Diceros bicornis minor: one gene and its partner. The protein of the gene in region 2 purifies or fractionates together with the protein of the main gene of each other region. This does not show direct contact. Links are inferred from orthologs where the notes say so. Each region holds a gene or a part of one and is shown on either strand. Other genes may lie near its edges.

Evidence for each region.
Region 1: the proteins of DYRK1A (region 2) and TROAP purify together in Homo sapiens (affinity purification with mass spectrometry; 6 studies listed by BioGRID and IntAct, with this or other methods). This does not show direct contact. The link is inferred for Diceros bicornis minor from reciprocal best matches to the Homo sapiens genes DYRK1A and TROAP.

What each region holds. Positions count from the first base shown.
Region 1 is NC_080756.1:20,360,150-20,370,360, forward strand, and holds the start of TROAP (tastin), read right to left. Parts: upstream 4,073-10,211; 5' UTR 3,997-4,072; intron 3,744-3,996; 5' UTR 3,733-3,743; coding exon 3,589-3,732; intron 3,485-3,588; coding exon 3,298-3,484; intron 2,773-3,297; coding exon 2,615-2,772; intron 2,540-2,614; coding exon 2,384-2,539; intron 2,193-2,383; coding exon 2,110-2,192; intron 1,618-2,109; coding exon 1,565-1,617; intron 1,084-1,564; coding exon 962-1,083; intron 39-961; coding exon 1-38. UniProt on the Homo sapiens protein: Could be involved with bystin and trophinin in a cell adhesion molecule complex that mediates an initial attachment of the blastocyst to uterine epithelial cells at the time of the embryo implantation.
Region 2 is NC_080766.1:37,534,019-37,544,482, forward strand, and holds the start of DYRK1A (dual specificity tyrosine-phosphorylation-regulated kinase 1A), read left to right. Parts: upstream 1-6,193; 5' UTR 6,194-6,269; intron 6,270-10,464. UniProt on the Homo sapiens protein: Dual-specificity kinase which possesses both serine/threonine and tyrosine kinase activities. Exhibits a substrate preference for proline at position P+1 and arginine at position P-3.

The DNA.
Region 1 (10,211 bases), on a different chromosome or scaffold from region 2:
CGGCCAGGGGACGGCATCAGGTGGGAGTCACGGCTGTCCTGCAGAGAGGAAGAAGAGGAAGAGTGAGCCCCTCCTGCTTTGCCTTCCTATGTCTTGTTCTCACCACAGCAGCCAGGGTGATTCTTTTAAGACCTAATCAGATCATGTCATCCCCCTCCCCATGGCTTTCCACTCATCGCAAGTAAAAGCCAAGGTCTTACACTGGTTTATAAGTCCTTACCCAGTCTGATCCTGTCATCACTCTAACCTCACTCCCTGTGGCTCTCCTTACTCTGCTTCAGCCTCGCTGGAGTCTCCTTTTTGCTGATCCTTAAACACCCTAGGCACATTCCCTCCTCAGAGCCTTTGCACCTGCAGTTCTCTTGGCTGGGAACGTTCCTCCCCCAGATATCTGCATGGCTCATTCCCTCAACTCCTTCTGGTCTTTTTCTCAATGAGATCCGCCTGACTAATAATCTATTTGAAATTGCAATAGCACCCCCCCCCACTTCCACTACCCCTTCAGGGCCTTATTTTTTTTTACAAAGAACTTATCACCATCTGACATAATATGTATTTTACATATGAGTTTATTTTATGTCTTCTCCTTCTAGAATGTGAACTTATTTACTACTGTATATCCAGAACCTAGAACAGTGCTTGGTGCACAGTTGGTCAATAAATACTTGTGGGGTGAATGAATGAATCAATGCTTTTGGCTCACAAGTGTCAGATCCGTCCACTCTCAGCACTGTATGGTTATACAAATACATGCAGGACTGTGACCTCTTACCCCCAGGCCCAAGACACCTGGCAAACTAAGGCTAGTCCCACTCTGGAAAGGGCTTGGGCCCATCTGGGGCAAACCCAGGGTCAAGAACTGCCTGGCTCCACCCACAATCCTCAGAGCTGGCAGCTGCTGGGGAATTCCCCCAAGCATCTCCCCTCCCCCTTCCCCCATCCCAGGAGGGTTCCATCTCACCCTGGTGTAGGTTATCTCTCGGGTTTCTCTTAATGGTACCCGCTGGGCCAGACCGAGGGGACCCCCTCCTCCTTCATCTGAGTGAGTGACAACTTCATGTTCTCCTTCAGGGAAAGAGGAAGCTAGGAGGAGACAGAAAATTTGCTAGAGTGTCTGGAACACCCACCCAAGTCTGGCACAGGGCATTGCAACCTCCTCTGAAAAGGGTATGCCAGTTTGACAGCCCTCATTGCACCATCAGGGGCGGCGACCCATCCAGCATCCCCTTGGAGCCCAGCACCGTCTCAGTAATCACTTATAAATCTGAATACTCTGAGTGGGCTAGGGGTGTGGCAATGGCTCTTAGGGGCTGAGGATAGAGCAGTGAGTGGAACGTGAATCTTGCAGGCAGTGGCAGGGAGAGGGTAGAAATAGGGACCACCTCATTTGACACAAGTGCAACTGAGCCAACCTCTGGCCTATCAAGAAGGTCTCTTCCTCTCTGGCTCCTTCTGATCTGGCCTTCCCCCCTTTCCTCCAGCCTGCTGAAATTTCCCTTGTCTTGCTCCCTGCTGCAGACAGCCCACCTGCCCCTGTTCTCTCCCCACGGGCAGACACACTCACCAGGCTGGACTGGGGTCTCCAGGAGCAATCCTGAGGCCTGGCTCACTGAAGTCCTGATGATAATAAGAACAACTAGCAGTCACAGAGTACCAAGTGTGATCTGGGCACTGTGCTAAGTGCTTTACAAACATCATCTTATTTAATTCTCACAACAGCCTCTAATGACAATACAGACATTATCTTCATTTGGCAGATTAAGGAAACTGAAGGTCGGAGGTTAAGGCAAGCTTGCATAACTAGCAAGTGGTAAGAGTCAGGAATCAAACCCAATTCCCATTTATTGCTACAGTCTATGCTTTAGCCACTAAACAAAAGATAGCACCTCTCATTTCTGTCCCCTTCCTCCCTCTACAACCTGAAGAAACTGATGTCATACTGAGGCCTGGCTATGAAGGCCTGAACCCTATTCCAACAGCTCACCCTGGGCAATCACAGGTTCCCCCTTCCCCTTGGGAAGTCCTAAAGCTACTGGAAGGCCCCAGCTCTGAGGGACCCCTGTATCCGACATTGGATCATCCTTTTCCAAATGACCCTCGCCTTCTCACCGGATGCTTCCACTTGTCTCTCTTCTTAGCTCCTGCAAACTGGGGCGAGCGGAGGGGTAAAAGGAAGGTCCTGAAGGTGGGATCTGACCCACAGGAGCAAGAGATAAAAGCAGAGTCAGAGGTGGGCCCCAAACCTTCTGGACTCACCACCAATCCCATCTGCCTCTACAGAACCCCTCTGGCTCGTCAAAAGGTATCTTCTTTCCCAGGGCCCAGCTCTGTCCCTGGAAGAAGCTCCCAGAAGCACTGAGTTCAGCCCCTCCAGGGCACCTACCAGAGCCTCTAGCCTCTGGGGGTACAAGGTCCGGCAGCGTGGTCCTGGTCCCTCCAGCCTCGAGAAGCAGGAAGCCCTGGCAGGGTCCAGTCGGTGGGTGGGAGTTTTGGGGGCCAAATATGCAGAGGCCCGGGCACCCTGGGACCCCAAAAGAGGCTATCAGCACAGGCTCAAGATTCTCTTCTCAGTCCACCCCAGCCTGATCTCCTCACATCCTTCCTGTCTCATTACCTGGCCCCTCCGGATGGTGCCTCCCTGGCTCCCTCGAACCAGTACTCTCTGAGCCAGACTGGGCTGGCGCCCCAGGTAACAGCTCTTCACCCCCTCACCTGACAGGATGGTGGCCAGGGCCTCAGGGTCAGCCACAAACTCTGTGGCCCCTGGAGCCTCTGCAAGGGAAGAAGGAAAGGTGAGAAGGAACAGGAAGGGGGAAGGCTGAAGTGTCAGGGACCCTAGTGTAGTCACCTTGAGGTGCAAGAGTGAGCCAAAGAAACCCATTCAATTGACCTCAGCTCACCAAGTGTTCACAGGACTTTACACAAGACATTCTTCTAGGCACAGGGCCCAGAGATGAATAAGACAAAGCCTCCATTCTCACTAACTTATCATCAAACCATAGAGAGGTAACAGACTCAAGCCAAAGGATGGACATGTTACAAACGAAGTACTGCAAAGTATTAGAACACAGAGCAATTGATTGTGACTGGGGGAGCTGGAAAAGGCTTTAAAAAAGATGACATTCTGCTAAGGAAGGAGAGGGCTTCTAAGAGCAAAGAGCTTTCCACGAGCAGCGACCTGGACTCTTATAGTAAGCAGGAAATGGGAGGAGTTCAAAGCCCCAAAACCCCACTGTGCCCATCCCATTCTCCCACCCAGCCAAGGAGATAGCGAGTTTTCAAGCCTCCAACAGGTACCTGTCTGGGGAGGGGGCCCAGGCTCCACATTATGTCCCCCAGGGCTAGGTCTGAGCTCCTCTAAGGGGTTCCGGAGCTGAGTGCTCCCCACCAATCTCTCTGATTTCTCTGTTTGATGTGTGGCTTTCAGCCTGGGGCCTGCTGAGTCAACGAGGGGGCGTTGAACATTGAGCTTCTGCACCAATCTCTGGGGAAGAGGAGGACAAAAAGCTGGGGCTCAGCGTTGGGGTGTATTGCTGGCGTGTACTGCCTCCTTGTAGCTACCGTCTTCACCCACCAGGCCCTTCTTACCCTTGGATCTTGGTTCTCCTGGTCCACGGCGCAGGACTTGACTGTGGGGAGAGGCGGGCGTCTCTGAGAGCGTACGGGAATCTTGCTAGGGGTGGGAGATACACCCCGGGGGAGAGGATCCTTCCTGGCTTGGAGGGTAGTCATGATGGCTCCGACTGAGACGGAGAAGAAGGCAGGATCAGGGATCAAAAGTCAGCCAGTTAGTCCCGACATTGGTCCCGACATCCCTGATACTCCCACCTCCGCCCAGATGCATGCGCCCAGAAGACCCCGGTGCCTGCAAGGCCGCTCTTCTGGGAGCCACCTCCAGACACCCTGAGCCTACTCTTTCGCCCCAGGACCCCGAGGTGCCTCTCCTCCCTATGAGCCTCCACAACCCTCATTCCCTTCAAGATCCTCGTGCCTCACCTTCACCGGAACCCCTCAGGGTCGCCCCACTTCCTTCGCTTTTTCCCTGACTCTCTCGGCTTCTGCTGCAGCTACTTCCCCAGTTTGTAAAATACGCCAAGCTCCTGATTGGCTCGTCCACACTCCCGCGGAGGCGCTGACACCTGACTCAGCCGTCCAATCCGCAGGCTTCGGAGGCGGGGCCAAAAGAAGGACTAGTTTTCGAACCGCTTTCTGGCCAGGAAATTACTGACCCGGTTCAATCAGCCAATCCGAGAGCGGAGCGCGGAGTGGAAGGCGGGGAAAGAGGAAGGAGGAGGCCGTTCTGAGGCTGGGAAGGCGAGGCCCTCTGAGTCCGGGCGACAACGGGCGCTGTCGTACTCTCGCGAGGTCTCGGGATTGATGAGGGAAGGACCGTTCTCGCGGCGTTGTGGGAAGGGGTGGGTGTCCGGATTGCGGTTAAGGGTGTTGGAGGCAGCCCCGAGCCCCTGACCTCGCTCTAAGCAGAGTGCGGCGTCCAGCTTCGGGGAAGTCATTCCAGACACTTATAGGAAACACGTTATGCCTGGGACGAGGAACTGCCTCCAAACGGGTGGAGAGGGCCGGAGGGAATTGAACTGAGCGTAACAATAACAAAAATTGAAAGAAACAGTCGTTTTCTCAGTTGAGTCTCACAACCCGGTAACGTGTGGTCTCTCTGTATTTCACAGATAAGAAACAAGACTCAGTGTTGTTGGAACTCATTCAACACACAGAAGGAGAGGGCTCTCACCTGCCTGTTATTGGCAGACAGGGGTGTGAAACTGAGGGAACCTAGAACACTGGTTAGAATGGATAGGGGTAACCCCTAATGGAAGACGGGAAATGGGCGATGGTTTCAAGTTGGCAGGACTCTGGTAGATGTTACCCCTGACTACAGTGGTTCCTGTTACACAAGCCAGGAACCTAGGAGTTATTCTTTCCCTGCTCTTCCAATCTCTTATTCATTCTTACTAATTTTACCTTTTAATTATCTTTGGAATTCATCTACTGTCTTCCTCTTTGTTGCCACCACCCTAATCTACCCTAATCTCACGTAGAGGATTGCAAGAGGCTCCCAACCTCCATTCTCGCTTGCTCTCCACATGAATCCATTCACCATATAGCAGCTAGAGTAATCTTCCCCAAATGCAGATCTCGTCATGTTACCGCTGTGCCTTGACCTCTCCCCACTCAAACTCCCCATCTTGTACCACTCTCCCTCTTGTTCTCTGCTTTCCAACTCCATTGCCTCTTTCCATTCCTCAAATTTGTCATGTTCCTTCTAGTCTCTGTGTCTGGAATGTCTTTTTTGCTTCCACTTTGCCTATTCATGCCTCCAAATTGATATTCACTGTTACTTCCTTAGAGAGGGCTCTCTTGAAGCCCTCTACTCACAACCCACTCTAATCTAAAAAAGATTCCTTTGTTATGTGCTCTTAAAGAACAGTGTTTGTTTCCTCAGAGCATGTATCTCAGTTGGTAATTGTATGTTCATCAATGTGAACATAATATGTTTATTAAACTGTATCTCCCCTGCTAGACCTCCATGAGGGTGGTGACCTTTTATTTTTGGCTTACCATCATATTTTCAATGGCTTGCATTATGCCTAGCTTGTAAAGGTTCTCAATATTTGTTGAATGAGTCAATGGATGGATGAATAATTAATCAAATGAATGCATGGAGAGTCATGGAAGATCTCCAAGAAGTAATATTTGAACTTCCTCTTAAAAAAAGAGAAGACTATTCTAGTCACTAGAAATAGTACTTGTGAAGGCAAAAGAAATGAAAGAATATGGAGTGTTGAGAGAATAGTGAGTCCTTGGGCGTAGATGGAACATAGGAAATAGTAGGAAATAAAACTAGAAAGGAGGTCTCAGTTAAGAGAAAGGGAAAGTCACCTCGTTCCACTAACAGTTACTGTGAATGTGCTGGACCCTAACCACTAGATCAGCAGGGATGGCTACTAATAAGCCTTGTGCACCTACTGTGTGTAAGGCCCTTTGTTAAGCATTTGGGACACAGAGAGGAATAAGGCTGAAGGTTGAAGGATGGGGAGGCACCAGGAAGGAGGCTGGCTGCACAGTGGCTTCATGTGATGTTAAGGTAGGCAGCACAGTGCAGGTCAAGTCCTCAGCATTGTGAAGCTAGAAGCTTGAGTTTGCCAGGCTACCCAGAGTAGATTTTGGGACTGACTCACACTAAGCAAATTCGTAAGAGAAACTGAGTGATTTACCATGAGTGATATACCTCTCAATGACCAAAATATTTATGCCTGCTCCTCAGGGTACCGCCTTCACAGAATCAAGGTACCAGGGAGACTGATTTTATATCAGAAAAGTCTTTAAAAGAGCCAGTGTTCAGAATATCTGTCACTCCTATCAGGGCATCTAATCTGTTTTCTACACAGCGGTCAGAGTGACTTCCTTCTGCTTGTCTTTGCTGGACCTTGTGAATGGAGATTTCAGTTAATCCTCCTCCTCAGGTTATAACATAATGTTTTCATCAATGTGCAAGCCACCTCTCTTGTTTTATTCTATCACCCCCTCCTTCGTTCTCTGTCTGCTCTCCTATTCCTCTCCCCGATATACGTCACTCTAATGTGCTTGATATATGTTCTTAACCATGCATGTATGCTTGTAAAATATGTAGGGTTGTGTATTAGTTTCCTATTGCTGCTGTAACAAATTGCCAGAAATTTAGTGGCTTAAAAGAATACAAAGTTATTTTCATATAGGTCTGGAGGTCAGAAGTCTGAAATCAAGGTGTTGGTATGGCTCCATTCCTTCTGGAGGCTTCAGGGGAGAGTCTGTTTGCTTGCCTTTTCCAGCTTCTAGAAGCTGCCAGCATTTCTTAGCTTGTAGCCCCTTCTTCCATCACTCAAACCTTTGGCATCTGTCATCACATCTACTACTCACTCTGATCTCCTGCCTCCCTCTTATAAAAACCCTGTGATTACATCAGTTCTACCCATATAATCCAGGATAATCTCCCCTTCTCAAGGTCCTTAACCACATCTGCAAAGTCCCTTTTGCCATATAAGGTAACATTCACAGATTCAGGGTATTAAGGCGTGAACGTCTTTGGGGAGGCATTATTCAACCAACTACAGGTTGTTTAGTGTATTTTTTTTGTTTTTTGTTTCTTTTTGGTTAGGAAGACTGGCCCTAAGCTAACATCTGTTGCCAATCCTCCTATTTTTGCTGAGGAAGATTGGCCCTGAGCTAACACCTGTGCCCATCTTCCTCCATTTTGTATGTGGGACACTGCCACAGCATGGCTTGATGAGCGGTACATCAGTCCGCACCTGGGATTTGAACCTGCAAACCCCGGGCCACTGAAGTGGAGTGCGTGAACTTAACCACTATGCCACTGGGCCAGCCCCGGGTGTATGTGTTTCTAATGTACATAAATGGCATTGCCCTATGATTCTGTTTTTACTTTTTTCAGTCAATTCTGTTTCTGGGATCCATCCTTATTGCTATATACAATCTAGTTCATTGCTTATAACAGATTCATAGGATGCCATCGTAGGCATCCATCATGTTTACTCGCTCTCCACTTCTACAAACAATGCTAGAGAATTATCTTCTTACATGGCCCCTTGTGAATCTGTTCAAAAATTACCCTGGGACATATACCCAGGAGTGGAATTTCGATGTCATGAAGCTTATGCATACTTAACTTCACTAAGTACTGCCAGATTATTTTTCGGAAGGTCTGTGGCTGTTTACACTCTCAACAACGTTACTTGAAAGTTCTTATCACCTCTCTCCTCTCCAACACTTGATATTATGCCACTTTCTAATTTTTGCAATTCTAATGGGTTATTTTAAATTACTTTTCTCTGATTACTAGTGAGTTTGAATGTTACTTCATATTCTTGTTAGCCAGTAGAGCTTCCCTCTCTTTGAAGTGCCTACTTATATCCTTTGTGCATTTTTTCCTATCGGTTTTCCTGTCTTTATTCTTGTTGATATATTAGATTTCACTGTATATTCTGCATATTAACTTCGTGTCCACTTGACACATTGCAAATGTTTCCTTTAGGTCTGTAGAGGAATATAATTGATTTTCTATCTGGCAAACTTAATGATCTCTTTTCTTGGTTTTCCTAGTTTGTTGATTCTGTTGGGTTTTCTAGAGATAATTATGTGTGCTGCAAATAATAACAGATTTATATATTCTCTTTAAGTTTTTACACCTTGTTGGTTTTTTTTGTTATTCTTGTTTTGTTTTGTTTGATTTTGTTGTTTTTTTCTCTTACTTCATTGTACAGAACTTTCAATATTATATTAAACAGTAGCAATGCCAGGGGCAACCTTGACTTATGAGAAACCATCTCAAGTTTTTCCAAAGAATAACTTTTCACCTGTTTTGTAAAACAATCTCAAATTTACAGAAAATTTTCATGAATAGTACAAAGAACTTTTTTCACAACCGTTGAGAGTAAGTTGCTAATATGTTGCCCCATCTCCTGCAGATACTTTAGTGTGTATTACATGCTAACAAGGACATTCTCCTACATAACCACAATACAACCATCAAAATCAGGAAAAGAACACTGATACATTCTTACCATCTAACCTCCAGACACCACTCAAGATTCACCATTTTTCTAACTAATGTCCTTTATAGCAAAAGGATCCAGTCCAGAATCATGTGTTGTGTTTAGTTGTCATGTCCCTATAGTCTCCTTCAATCTGGAACAGTTCTTCATTCTTGACTTTCATGACCTTGACACTTTTGAGGATTACAGGCCAGCTATTTGCAGAATGTCCCTCAATCTGGGTTTGTCTGATGTTTCCTCATGATTAGAGTCAGGGTATCCATCTTTGGCAGGACTGTCACAGAAAGGATGCTGTTTTCTTCCTACTGCATCCTCTCAGGTGGTGCTCATTTCCATTTGTCCCATTACTTGATTAAAGTGGTATCTGCCAGGTTTCTCCACTGTAAATTACTCTTCCCTCTTCGTAATTAGTATTTTATGTGAGGGGGAGTTTGAGATTATGTAAATATTCCGTTCCTCATCAAACCTTCACTTTATTTACTTAATTATGTCAGTATGGACTCATAAGTTCCTGTAATAGTCAGAGTATTATTCAATGACTAATATGGTTGATATTGATACTCAAGATGTCTCTGATGTGGTCAGTGGGCGCCCTTTCAAGTTGTCTTCTCTATTCTTTCAGCATGACCGTATTCTTTTAGCATTCATCATTTTTAGTATTTCTTTTCTTTCTGGCATAGCAACATGTTTCAGGTTCAATTTATACTTTCCCTGCATCCGCTCTAGTATCAGCCATTTCTCCAAGGAGGTCTGGTTCCTTTTAATGGAGAATGTTGTTTAGAAACTAAGAGCTGGACACTAGCTGTGCTCATTGCCTTTAGGATATTGCTGCCCCCAGGCCCTCTCAGTGGACAGAGTTAGGGGATACATTTTACACACACACACACATGCACACACAAACACACACACATCTAGATTTCTATATCTAAATATATACAAAATCATGAGTTCAAGACAGGCCTTTAAAAACCATGTCATTTACCTGTTTTAAAATACTTTAGGGCTGGCCCCGTGGCTTAGCGGTTAAGTGCGTGCGCTCCACTACTGGCGGCCCGGGTTTGGATCCTGGGCGTGCACCGATGCACTGCTTCTCCGGCCATGCTGAGGCCATGTCCCACATGCAGCAACTAGAAGGATGTGCAGCTATGGCATACAACTGTCTACTGGGGCTTTGGGGTAATAAATAAATAAATAAATAAATAAATAAATAAATAAATAAAATACTTCAAAGGCTTTCTGTTGTCCTTACCAAATATGTTAGGAACCTGCCAAAATAAGGTAGGCTCTCTTCTCTTTGCCAGACTCCAATTAATGAATTGAAATTAAAAATTTTGCAATAAAAAGAGACAGAGATCAGCCAAAAAAGGTTTTTTCTATAGTTGCTTTATTTTATTTTATTTTCCTTTTTTCTCCCCATAGCCCCAGTAGATAGTTGTATGTCATAGTTGTACATCCTTCTAGTTGCTGTATGTGGGATGCTGCCTCAGCATGGCTTGATGAGTGGCGCGTAGGTCCACGCCCAGGTTCCGAACCTGTGAACCCGGGGCCGCTGAAGCAGAGTGCGTGAACTTAACTGCTATGCCACCAGGCCGGCCCCGGTTGCTTTATTTTAAATTTAATACACCCAAATATTAAGTAATAATCAGA
Region 2 (10,464 bases):
GAGGAAAATAGGAAGAAAACAGCAGGAGCTCATCATTCATTTAAAAATACAAGACAAAACAGTATTTACAGTATGCCAGATATGGTGCCAGGGATACAAACATGAAGATATAGGATCCTTGAATTACAAGCATTTATAGTATAGAAATAGGCATGCAAATACAATATAGTAAAGTAATACCACTGTTATAACCACATAAATATCTTTTGAATTGAAGCAAAAATAGGAAAAATGTTTGAAGACAGTAGCAGTAAATATGTGTATTGATAAACACTGTAGGAATATTAAATGATGTCCACTACACACCTACATTGAAAAGCCAAGAAAATAAGCCAAAACTCTCAAGTACTGTAGAGCTAATGAACCATTGAAGTAAGTGACCTTTGTAGATTTCTGTGCATCCTACCTAATTTTTAATTCCATGTACTTAATTGTGTTTTGCAGTTTCATTAGGGCATTTTTCCTCAATCTGTTAATTTTGAGGAAGCTATTATATATGTATGAATCAATATATTAAAGTGTATTTCTTTTCAAGTCTTGCCAAAGTGTTGCAAAATACTGTTTTAAGATATTCTGAAATGTGAAAAATATACACTTTAATCCAACAATTTCACATTTTCTATTTAACCTTTATCTTGATGTCACAGAAAAAGAAAATGTTAACGATAACTCACGAAATAATATTGGTAAACATTCTTACATGACAGCAAAGTAATGAGTATTGTCCTTCTTTTTAAAAACGGCACCACTAGAACCACATCTAGGCATAAAACAATGTTGCAAGCAACCTTATGATGCTGCAAAGGTGGCAGAGCACCTGGTCCAGGTGCCTGGTTAAGAGGAGGTAGGGAGGCTGAGAGAAGAGAGGCTGAGAGCAGGGAAGAAGGCTGGGCTAGATCCACTTGGGAGATGGCTAGGAATGGAGATCGCCACAGATAAACTGACTGGGGTGATGGATGTCTGGTGTTGATATCACATACTAGCCTAACAACAGCATATGGCCTTTTAATTTTCTTTTCTTTCTTCCTTTTTTTTTGGGGGGGGTGGAAAAAAAAGAAATCGACAAAAAAATGACACCTCTCCATCTTCTCCCCCAAATTGGCATGGGATATACACATGCAGGGCACAGATAGCCCAATAAACATATATAAAAAAAGAAGACACTAAATGGTCAAAGAAATGTAAACTAAAGCAAGAGAGTGTGGTAGAATGTGGGAAAAAGTCATTCTCACATACTCCTTTTTTTTTTTTTTTTTGCTGAGGAAGATTTACCCTGAGCTAACATCTGTGCCAATCTTCCTCTATTTTGTATGTGGGTCACCACCACAGCATGGCCACCGATGAGTGGTGCAGGTCTGTGCCTGGGAACGGAACTAGGGCTGCTGAAGCAGAGCATGCCAAACTTAGCCACTAGGCCATGGGGCCAGCCCTGCGCATACTACTTTTAGGAGCGTAAATTGGTGAAATCATTTCTGAGGGATATTTTGGCAACATGAATCAAAGCTTTTTAAGGGTGCACGCCCTTATCCTAAGGAAATAACGACAGGTGTGTAAAATGTGTACATGTGATATTTATGTAGCTTTACTTGTAATAACAAAAAAAAAAAAGAGGAAAACTTCCTTGAAAAATGGAGAAGCAGTTGAATTATGGCTCATTCAGCTGATGGAATACTTGTAGCTGTTAGAATAATCATCTAAATTTTAGTTGATTAACACAAAAATGTGTTCATAACACAATTGTAAGTAAAAAAGGCATAAAACATACCTATATGTGTTGTGTGTGTGTGTGCGTGTGCTCATGTCTAAGAAGGTCTAGAAGAATATATGTGAATATGAAGATATTAATAAGGTTTATCTCTGGGTGATACCTATGAATAATCTTTACTTCTTTATTGCTTTCCACATTGTAAAACTGTTTGTAATGACCATAAATTACTTTTATTTTGTTTTTGGATCTCAGGTGCAGAGAACTGAGTATTAACTTCTTGATTCATAGCATGCTACCATTGCCAGTTTTAACAAGGCCCCTCTCTTGTTTTAATTTATTGTTTCTTTTGAATTTGATAAACATGAATTACTATTAAAACCAGAACAAACAATAAAGCTTATACAAGGGGAGCAATCAAGGACCTTTACTCTGAAGTCTGTAAGAAGAGTGAGGGTGTCAGATTCTAGCCACGTCACTGTCCAGGGATGAATTGTAAATTGTTCACCTTCTCACCTGATGTGAAGGGCAGAGATATTGGTTGGTGGAATGTTTGGTTAGTTCTTGGAATGTTTGGGTTATAACTCCCAGCCAGGTTCCAACTAGTGAACTTTTGGGCTTAGTATAGCACACCACGAAGAGTGGCCATGAACAGATGTGGAACCAATGAAAAGAACCTGGCTTGGCTTGGAATCTTGGCTTGGATCTGTGTGTTAGTCTGCCAGGGCTGCCATAACAAAGTACCACAAACCAGGTGGCTTCAACAACAGAAATGTATTGTCTCCCAGTTCTGGAGGCCAGAGGTCCAAAATCAAGGTGTCGGTGAGGTTGATTCCCTCTGACGGCTGTGAGGGAGAATCTGCTCCAAACCTCTCTCCCAGCTTCTGGCAGCCTCAGCTGTTCCTTGGCTTGTAGATGGCGTTCTCTCTGTGTCTTCACAGTCTTCCGTGCGTGAATGTCTGTCTCTGTGTCCAAATTTCTCCTTTTTAAAAGGAAATGCCAATTATATTGGATTAGGGCTCACTCTAATGTCCTCATCTTGATTATCCCTGTAAAGACTCTATTTCCAAATAATCCCAGATCATCTTGGTGTGGCGGAAAGAATATGGGCTTTGCAATTACACTCGGGTTTGAATCTTGGCTTCACCACTTACTAGTGGTGTGACCTTGGGAAAGTAATTACTCAGGACTTGTTTTCTCATCTGTATAATGGGTATATACTGTTGCTAGAATGTACTGGATAAGCGGAGGCTGTTATTATCTGTGAGTTGGGCAGGTCTTTGCTCTTAGAGGTTAACTTCTATCAATAGATACATCTGTAACACATCTGTCAGTGATCTGATAGGGAGATTCTCAGATGACAGCAAGGATTTAATCACTGAATCCTGTCAACACTAAACTGGCATCTGTACCAGAGTCCTTCCTGCCTACATGTGTTTACTTGTTTGGAGCAGCGTAATTTACAGGTTACTTTTTAGGTGAAGCCTAGATAAAACTATTTTACAGCATTCCAACCTGGACATGACAGTTCATTGATCAATGTTGTGTAAGGCTGTCACACTGGGGGTGGGGGGTTGGAGTTGGGAGGGAAGGGGGCAACCTTCTAGATATGATCAATGTCTTCTATTATTTCATGATTACAAGCTGGAGATTCTGCCTCACCCTGATAATCTTCTAGACTGATTTGACTGAAGACAAGGGTACATTTCTTGAGACATTGTCATATTCTTTGCAGGTTACCTAGAAGATTAATTATGCCAGTTTCCTTATCACCACCAAAAATTTGACTCAAATTTATTTTAGTCTTAAAGGTTGCAAATCCTTAATTGATCTGATAGAAGTGAAAGTGTGGTGAATGGGGTGGGGGCGGGGAGCAGGGAGGAGGGAAGCGGGAGGGAGGAACGAGTTGGTTGCATAGGTGGAAGCGAGCTTGGGAGGAATCAAGGTAGAGATCTCTCACCTCAGTAGGGACACCCTTGGCCACCTCCTTCGAAACAATCAAGTTGAATGTAGACTTTACCTTAGCAGGGCAATTTTGAAGCAGAAATCCAAAAGAACTTCTGACAGGGCAACTTTTGATACCACGTAGAATCAGTCAGAATTAAGCTATTTGCCAGTCTACTTTTTGCATAATTTACTTTAGATTTACTCTGATTTCTTTCAAGACCTGTGCTAGTCTGAATGGTTGCCTTGGTATGTCAATGTTCTAATAACTGTAGGAGGGAAACATTGGTTGGAAATCATTTAAAGCCGTGTCTTTCCTTGAGTAACATACGATAGAGACCTGTATTTGTTATGGTGGTGTTTTTCTCTACACCTAAGATTGTATCTGTTGCTACTGTATTTGTGAACAGCTCAAGCTAAAGAAAAAATTGATATGAACACTATCATAAGATGGCAAAATCAAGGTTAGAAATCAATCAGTGACTTGCTGTAAAATGATATCTCTATATATCCTTTTTAGCGTAACATTTATTAAAGTCCATTTTATTAGCATAGGTACAAAACACAATTTTTCCAGTGGCTGTCCGCTCATTACAAAGTAGCCAGCACTGCATGGCTACTAGCATCCCTAGGTTTTAATGCCTGGGGAACACACCTAGCAATATTCAGCCAGGCAGAAGGGGTAGACTGAATACAAATAAACGAAAGCCAGAATGGGCGAATTAAGAATCTGGAAGCTGAGATGGTGCATGAAAAAGAAAAACAGAAAAACAGGGAGTTGGACAAGGATACAGTAACCGCTCAAGAGGATTAATTTCAGGGGCATTCCGATGGAGAAGGCAGGCTGCGCCCAGAAAGGTGGGGAAGGGTTTGAAATAGCTGGGAGAGCCTGGGAGAGCGTGCACAGCCTAAAAAGTTTTCATGATGGCTCCGTCCATGATTTCTGAACGCTGGCATTGGTTGCTACGAAAACCGAGCGGCATGATTTAGCCAAGGTGTCAGCCGCAGGGGCATCCCGGATTCGGGCGAAGCGTCCGGAATTCCTGAGATGTCTGAAACGCGGAGGCGGCCGCTTCCCCACCCCCAGCCGCGGCCTCCGTGGGCATTTTCCGGCGAGGGGGGCACGCGAGCCCTTCGAAGAACAGTTCAGACGCGCGGACGTGCGCAGCCAGGCCGCCTGACCCCGGCCAGCGCGCTCCCCAGGGAGCAAGGTGAGCGCCCCCGGCCCGGGCGCGCGGGGTGGGCCGCCCGGGGCCCCCTCCCCCCGGCGCGGGCGGGGCTGCGGGCGCACAACGCGGAAGCGCGGGGCTCCGGGGGCGACGGCGCGGAGGCCGCGCGCGCTCCCCGGGCCGCAGTCGGCGCGCGCGCGGGCGCGGCGGGCGCGGGGCGGGGCGCGGCCGGGCGGCCGCGGGCGCTCGCGCACAGGCCGGGCAGGCGCCTCGCCCCCCTTCCCCTTCGCCTTCCTTCCCTCGGCCCGGCCGGCCCCCTCCTCTCCCCTCCCCCGAGCGAATCACGCGCCCTCCTCTGACACTCGTAGCGGGCCCGAGCTCCGAATTTATCCTTCACGTGACCTGAGGGGGTTGGGTGGTTGGTCGGGGACGCAGAGGGAGAGGGAAAGGAGGGAACGGAATCTGCCGTTGCCCGAGCAACAGGCCCCGCCCGCCGGCTTGGGGCCGGGGGGGCGGGAGGAGGACGTCAGCACGTCAGCCGGGGTTTTGCGTTTTGATTGACAGTTGCTATAGCGACCGGGTCGGTCCGTCGCCATTTTGTTGGTTGGTTTTTTTTTAAACCCTTTCGCTTCCCGCCCGAATAATAATAAAAAGCCCCATTGGAGTGAGGCGGGGGTGGCGGCGGCAAGAGCGGCGGGGGGATCCGGGGAGACTGCTGCCGTCGCTGCTGCTGATCGCAGCCCAGGTCGGGCTTAGGGAGCGGACACCCCGAGCGGGGGGTGCGGGCGCCGCCGCCGCCGCCGCCGCCGCTTCTGCTGCTGCTGTTCCTGCTGCTGCTGTTGGTGCCGCTGCCGCCGCCGGCGAGCGGGCGGGACCGGTGTGAGTGTGCGAGTGTGTGTGTGAGTGAGCGTGTGCGCGGGCGAGTGTGCGTGTGTGTGTGTGTGTGTGTGAGTGTCTGTCTGTCTGTGCGGGGACTCGGGGGCGGGCGGTTCGGGCTCTCCTGGCGGAGGAGCCGCCGCCGCCGCCGCCGCCGCTCGGGCCCCGGCGCTTCTCGCTGCGCAGGTTTGGAGCGCGCGCCATTTTGTGAGATTTACAAAATCCTCCTCGGGAAGAAGCCGCCGGGAGCGGCCGCCACTCGGCGCCCGGCCTCGTCGCCGCCGCCCTCCGCGCCGGGCCGGGCCGCGCGGCCCCGCCGCCGGGAGTCGGGGTCCGGGGACTGCGGTATTTGCCGGGGAGGGGGCTGTCGCCTCCCCGGCCCCGGGCGCCGCTGGAACCGCGAGCCGGAGAGAGACTGAGGAGGCTGCGGCGCGGCCGCCGAGCCGGGAGCGCCGGGGGCGGAGAGAGGCGGCCGGGGCGGCGCTGGCTGCGGAGGCCGCGGCGGAGCGCAGCGGCGGGAGCCCGAGGCTGAGACTCACCGGAGGGAGCGGCGCGAGCGCCCCGCCATCGTCCCGGTGAGTGTCCGGCCCGGCCGCGGCCCCGCCCGGCCCGGCGCTCGGCTCCCCCCGCGGCCTGCAGCCGGGCCCGCGCCGAGGCTGGCCGGGCGGAGGGAGGGACCTGCCATTTTAGGAGGAGGCGCCGCGGCCCGGGGCCGGCCGCCGGGGAGGGAGCCCGCCGGGCCCGGTCCCGGAGGAGAGGCGGGTGCAAGCGGAGGGAAAGTTCGGAGGGTGGGAGCGGGGGCCTGGGGGCCGGAGAGAGCGCCAGACCTTCACTGGTCGCCCGAGCCGAGGGGAGGAGGTTGTCTTCCTCCTCCTCCTCCTCTTCCTCCTCATCCTCTTCCCCCAGCTCCTCCCTCGTCCCTCCTCTCGGTCCCCACCAGTGTGGGAACCGCCGGGGTTCTCCGCAAGGACAATGCACGGGCTAAGAAAATGGGGCCGGCCGCTGGGCCAGGCGCCGGGGAAGGTCGCGAGCCCGGTCCCCCCGCGGCCCTTGGGCTGTGTGCTGGGGCGAGGGCCCTCGGCGTGCTCCGAAGTTGTGCCGCGAGTGCGAGGCAGCCCGGCCGCTCGGGAGGGAGGCATGACCTCTTTAGCAGCCGGAGGAGTTGGTGGCTGGGAATGCGTAAATTATAATGGATACCTGGATATTGCCACGAAACTTGACGAGTCTCTTTACAGGCACAAGCCCACTCTCGCTTAGAGAGAGGCCCCTCCCTAGGCTGCAATAGTTAAAAATGGCACGGTTAGTGAGTGAGTGACTCCAAGTACTTGTCTCTGCCTTTCGTCCGGCCCTAGATGATAGGAAATTTGTAATCTAGGTGCGGCACTTAAATGCCAGCACCATTTGGTTCTTGAATTCCGCCCAAGTTGTCAGAAAATACACCTTATAGCATTGTTTTCACACCGATTTGGAGATGAGGACGAAGAATGCCAGGCACTCGTTCTCAGGGCTTCAAGTGTATTAACTCGCTCATACTACCGGTAGGAATTGTTACCCATTGTACAGATGGGAAAACTGAGCTGTGACTCATCCAAGGTCATACAGCTGGGACTCCAGGAGCCAGGAGTCTGCAGTCAGCCTGGCCTCTTAATCACTAGGTTATAACTCATTATAAATACTGGCGGATTTTGGAGTGATCTGTGCGTAATGACTCAGGGTTGTAACCTAGAGATTGTGTCCATGTATAGTGGTTAGCGTGGGATTAACTTTGTGGTTTTTGGAAGTGGAAAGGAAAGATTGAGATGAGGCCCTCTTAATGAAACTTGTCAGCCCCCCCACCCCCCAACTAGGGAGACAGTTTTTGAATGGAAGGAATTAAAAAATATTCTTTGGTGCGTTTTGTTCTTCACACTTAATTTTAATTATAGGCGTCATTTAAGTATTGATGAGTCATAAGAAAGTTTTGCGTAAAGTTATTATTAGTCATTTTTGTCTTTGAATACTTAGATTTCTTCTTTACATACTTTACATATGCAAAGTGCTTAAGAATGGGTATATTTAATAGTTTCCATTTCGTGACATTTTAATAATTCAGTGGAATTACCTTTAGCTTTTTTGTTATATTTCTCATATCTTGGTGGTTTAGTTACTTTGAGAGAATATTATGTTCAGATAGACTATAAACATGAGACTAGAACTAAAATTTCATGTGCTAAGATTTTAAACCGAAGAAGATAGTTTCAAAGAAGCAGCAGTTAAGACAAAAGTTTACTTGATTATAGTTAAGATGTTTAATATACGTATGACTTAGACTTCAGGTACCCCCAGTGTTTTTGGAGGATTTGCCTTGAAATAGTGGTGTTTATGGTGGCTGTCCAGATTCGTCTAAACTTCAAATTTTGCCAAAGTTAAGGACTCCTGTCAATGTCTACACAAAGTTGTATTGTAAAACTGACTATAAACAGTTGATAAGAGACGTAGGCTCAGAAGTTAATTATTCTAGAAGGTAGGGTCACCCCCGTGTCTGTAAGGTGAAGGCACACTCCTTTAAAATCTAAAAAAGATTTTAGATTTGAACAAACAGGCTTGAATGAATGAATGATCATTATTGGTAGGGGTGGGAGAGACTACGTGATCTAGTGAGATCTTTGTTATTGTTAGGAATTCGGAATTGGGGTATAAGATCATTTCTTAAACATATTTTAAAGATATTTTGGTGGGACCTATTAGAAACTTAACAAACATACAGAATTACTGTGTGCTGAGGATTCAAAAATGAACGAGTTAGTCCAGTCTTTTAGGGTCACTAACATTCGAATTAAATGAAAATATCCCATTTTAATACAATGTCTGGTTTGGGAATGTGGATAGTGAAAAAGACCCTTGGTTAGAATTTTTTTCTCCTCTAGGATATTATCTGACGTCTGCCCCTTAGTTTTATTTATGGAGAGTTACTGTGTTTGTGACTTAAAGATATGGGGGTGTGGAGTGGTAAGTGCACCAAATGGTATTTAGGGAGTTTACATAGGTTTTTATAGTGCTATGAATATTTATCTGCAAAAGCAAAATTCAGGATAACTTGTTATAACACATAATATAGAATGACCTTTGGCGTGTATTTTATTTTGAAACTACAAAAAAAGAAAATGCTAATTTGTATTGAATCTTGGCTACTACTTGAAAACAAGTTTTTTTTTTTTAAATAAAAAATAGCGTAGAAATTTAGACTGCCCAGGGATGTTTTCACATGCATGTTTATGGTTGGCGAGAATTTAGTTATGGGAAGAAAATTTGGATAGAAGTAACTTAATTATGAGTGAGAAGAGAATTGCCTTATACGTGACATTAAAAATAAGATTAATAGGAGAGATGGCTTCATTTGTGACTTTCTTGGTATTTATGATTAGGTGTGTGTCAGTTTTTCTTTGCTTTAGCATTAGGTTTTGTTTTATTTTAAAGAACTTTCACATTTCTTAGATCCACACTCACACCCCCAAGCAATTTCTCTTTTATTCCTCAAGGAAAAACCTTAACCGTCTGAAGCCAGCAAACCCCAAAAACTTCCAGAAAGTTTTAATAACGAACTTGGCTCTTCTCTCCCAAAATTTTATTAGTCTTATAGTTGTGTTGTATTCCTTATCAGTAATTTAAACTGTGAGCTAAGGCTCTCTACTTGCTGTTGAATGTTTGGTGGTTTTACCTCCAGATACTCATGTATATTTTCTATTTAGAAGTAAAGATAGTACTTGCAACTATCAAACATGGTCACTTGAAACTTGATACTAACACAGTTTGCCCTTTCAAAGTGAATTGCGTGACTTATAACTTATGTATACACGTGTATACATAGTGGTTATCCCTTTTAAGACATTTCTTACCATATGTTATTTTGACTGTTGGGCAATGTTTTGATGGCTAGAGAAATTGTGGTAACTCATAATCCAAGGCTTGCACAATTGTGCATTAAAAATTTTGGGGGGTTAAATTTGTGTTTAATAACTTGGAAAAAATCATCAAACTATTTTAAATTACCTAAAATTTCTCCTCATTTGCCCTTAAATGAAGAAATCTTTTGAAATCTTGCTTATGTCAATGCTATCATGTTAAGTGAGAGCTGTGAAGTTTACCATTGGTTATGTGAAAGTGAAATGTTGATATCTCCTGACTAAGATAATTAATTCAGGGTTCACATTAGGCACTTAAAGACAAGTCTTGTTTCCTAACCTAGTGTCTACAGGCAGCCTTAGTTCCAGTTTTTAGTATATGAAAACAAAATGATTTGGAAATATTGTATAAACCAGCTAAATGTTTTTAAAAAGTTTTGCTTTTGCTTTGAAATGCTATTTCCAGAGTTGCATAATGAGTTAAAGTTCCTTATTGGAGATAATAACTTACAGTACATTGAACATCTAAAATGATGTGATTCCTCGTAGGCATACTTTTTGCTAATATAGAACCATTTTTGCTTCTTGGCAATTGATTCTTCTACCAGAGCTATGTACCCTCTTTTCTAGAAGGTGATTTTTACAAGTTTGTATTATTGTTAAAGTTTTGAAAGATACATGTTTTTTGTTTGAGGGACGTGCTCATATCTAATAAATAGTGCATAATAGCTCAAAATGTATGTTTACTCTTGATAAATTGTTTTGAGTTTTATCTCCCCAATAATTGAAATGCTTGTTTAAATCGATTTTGTGTGGGGGCTTAGTGAACTGGTTTAACATGGAATAAAACTGGTTTTCAGTATCACCTCTATTTTAAATAACATTCCCT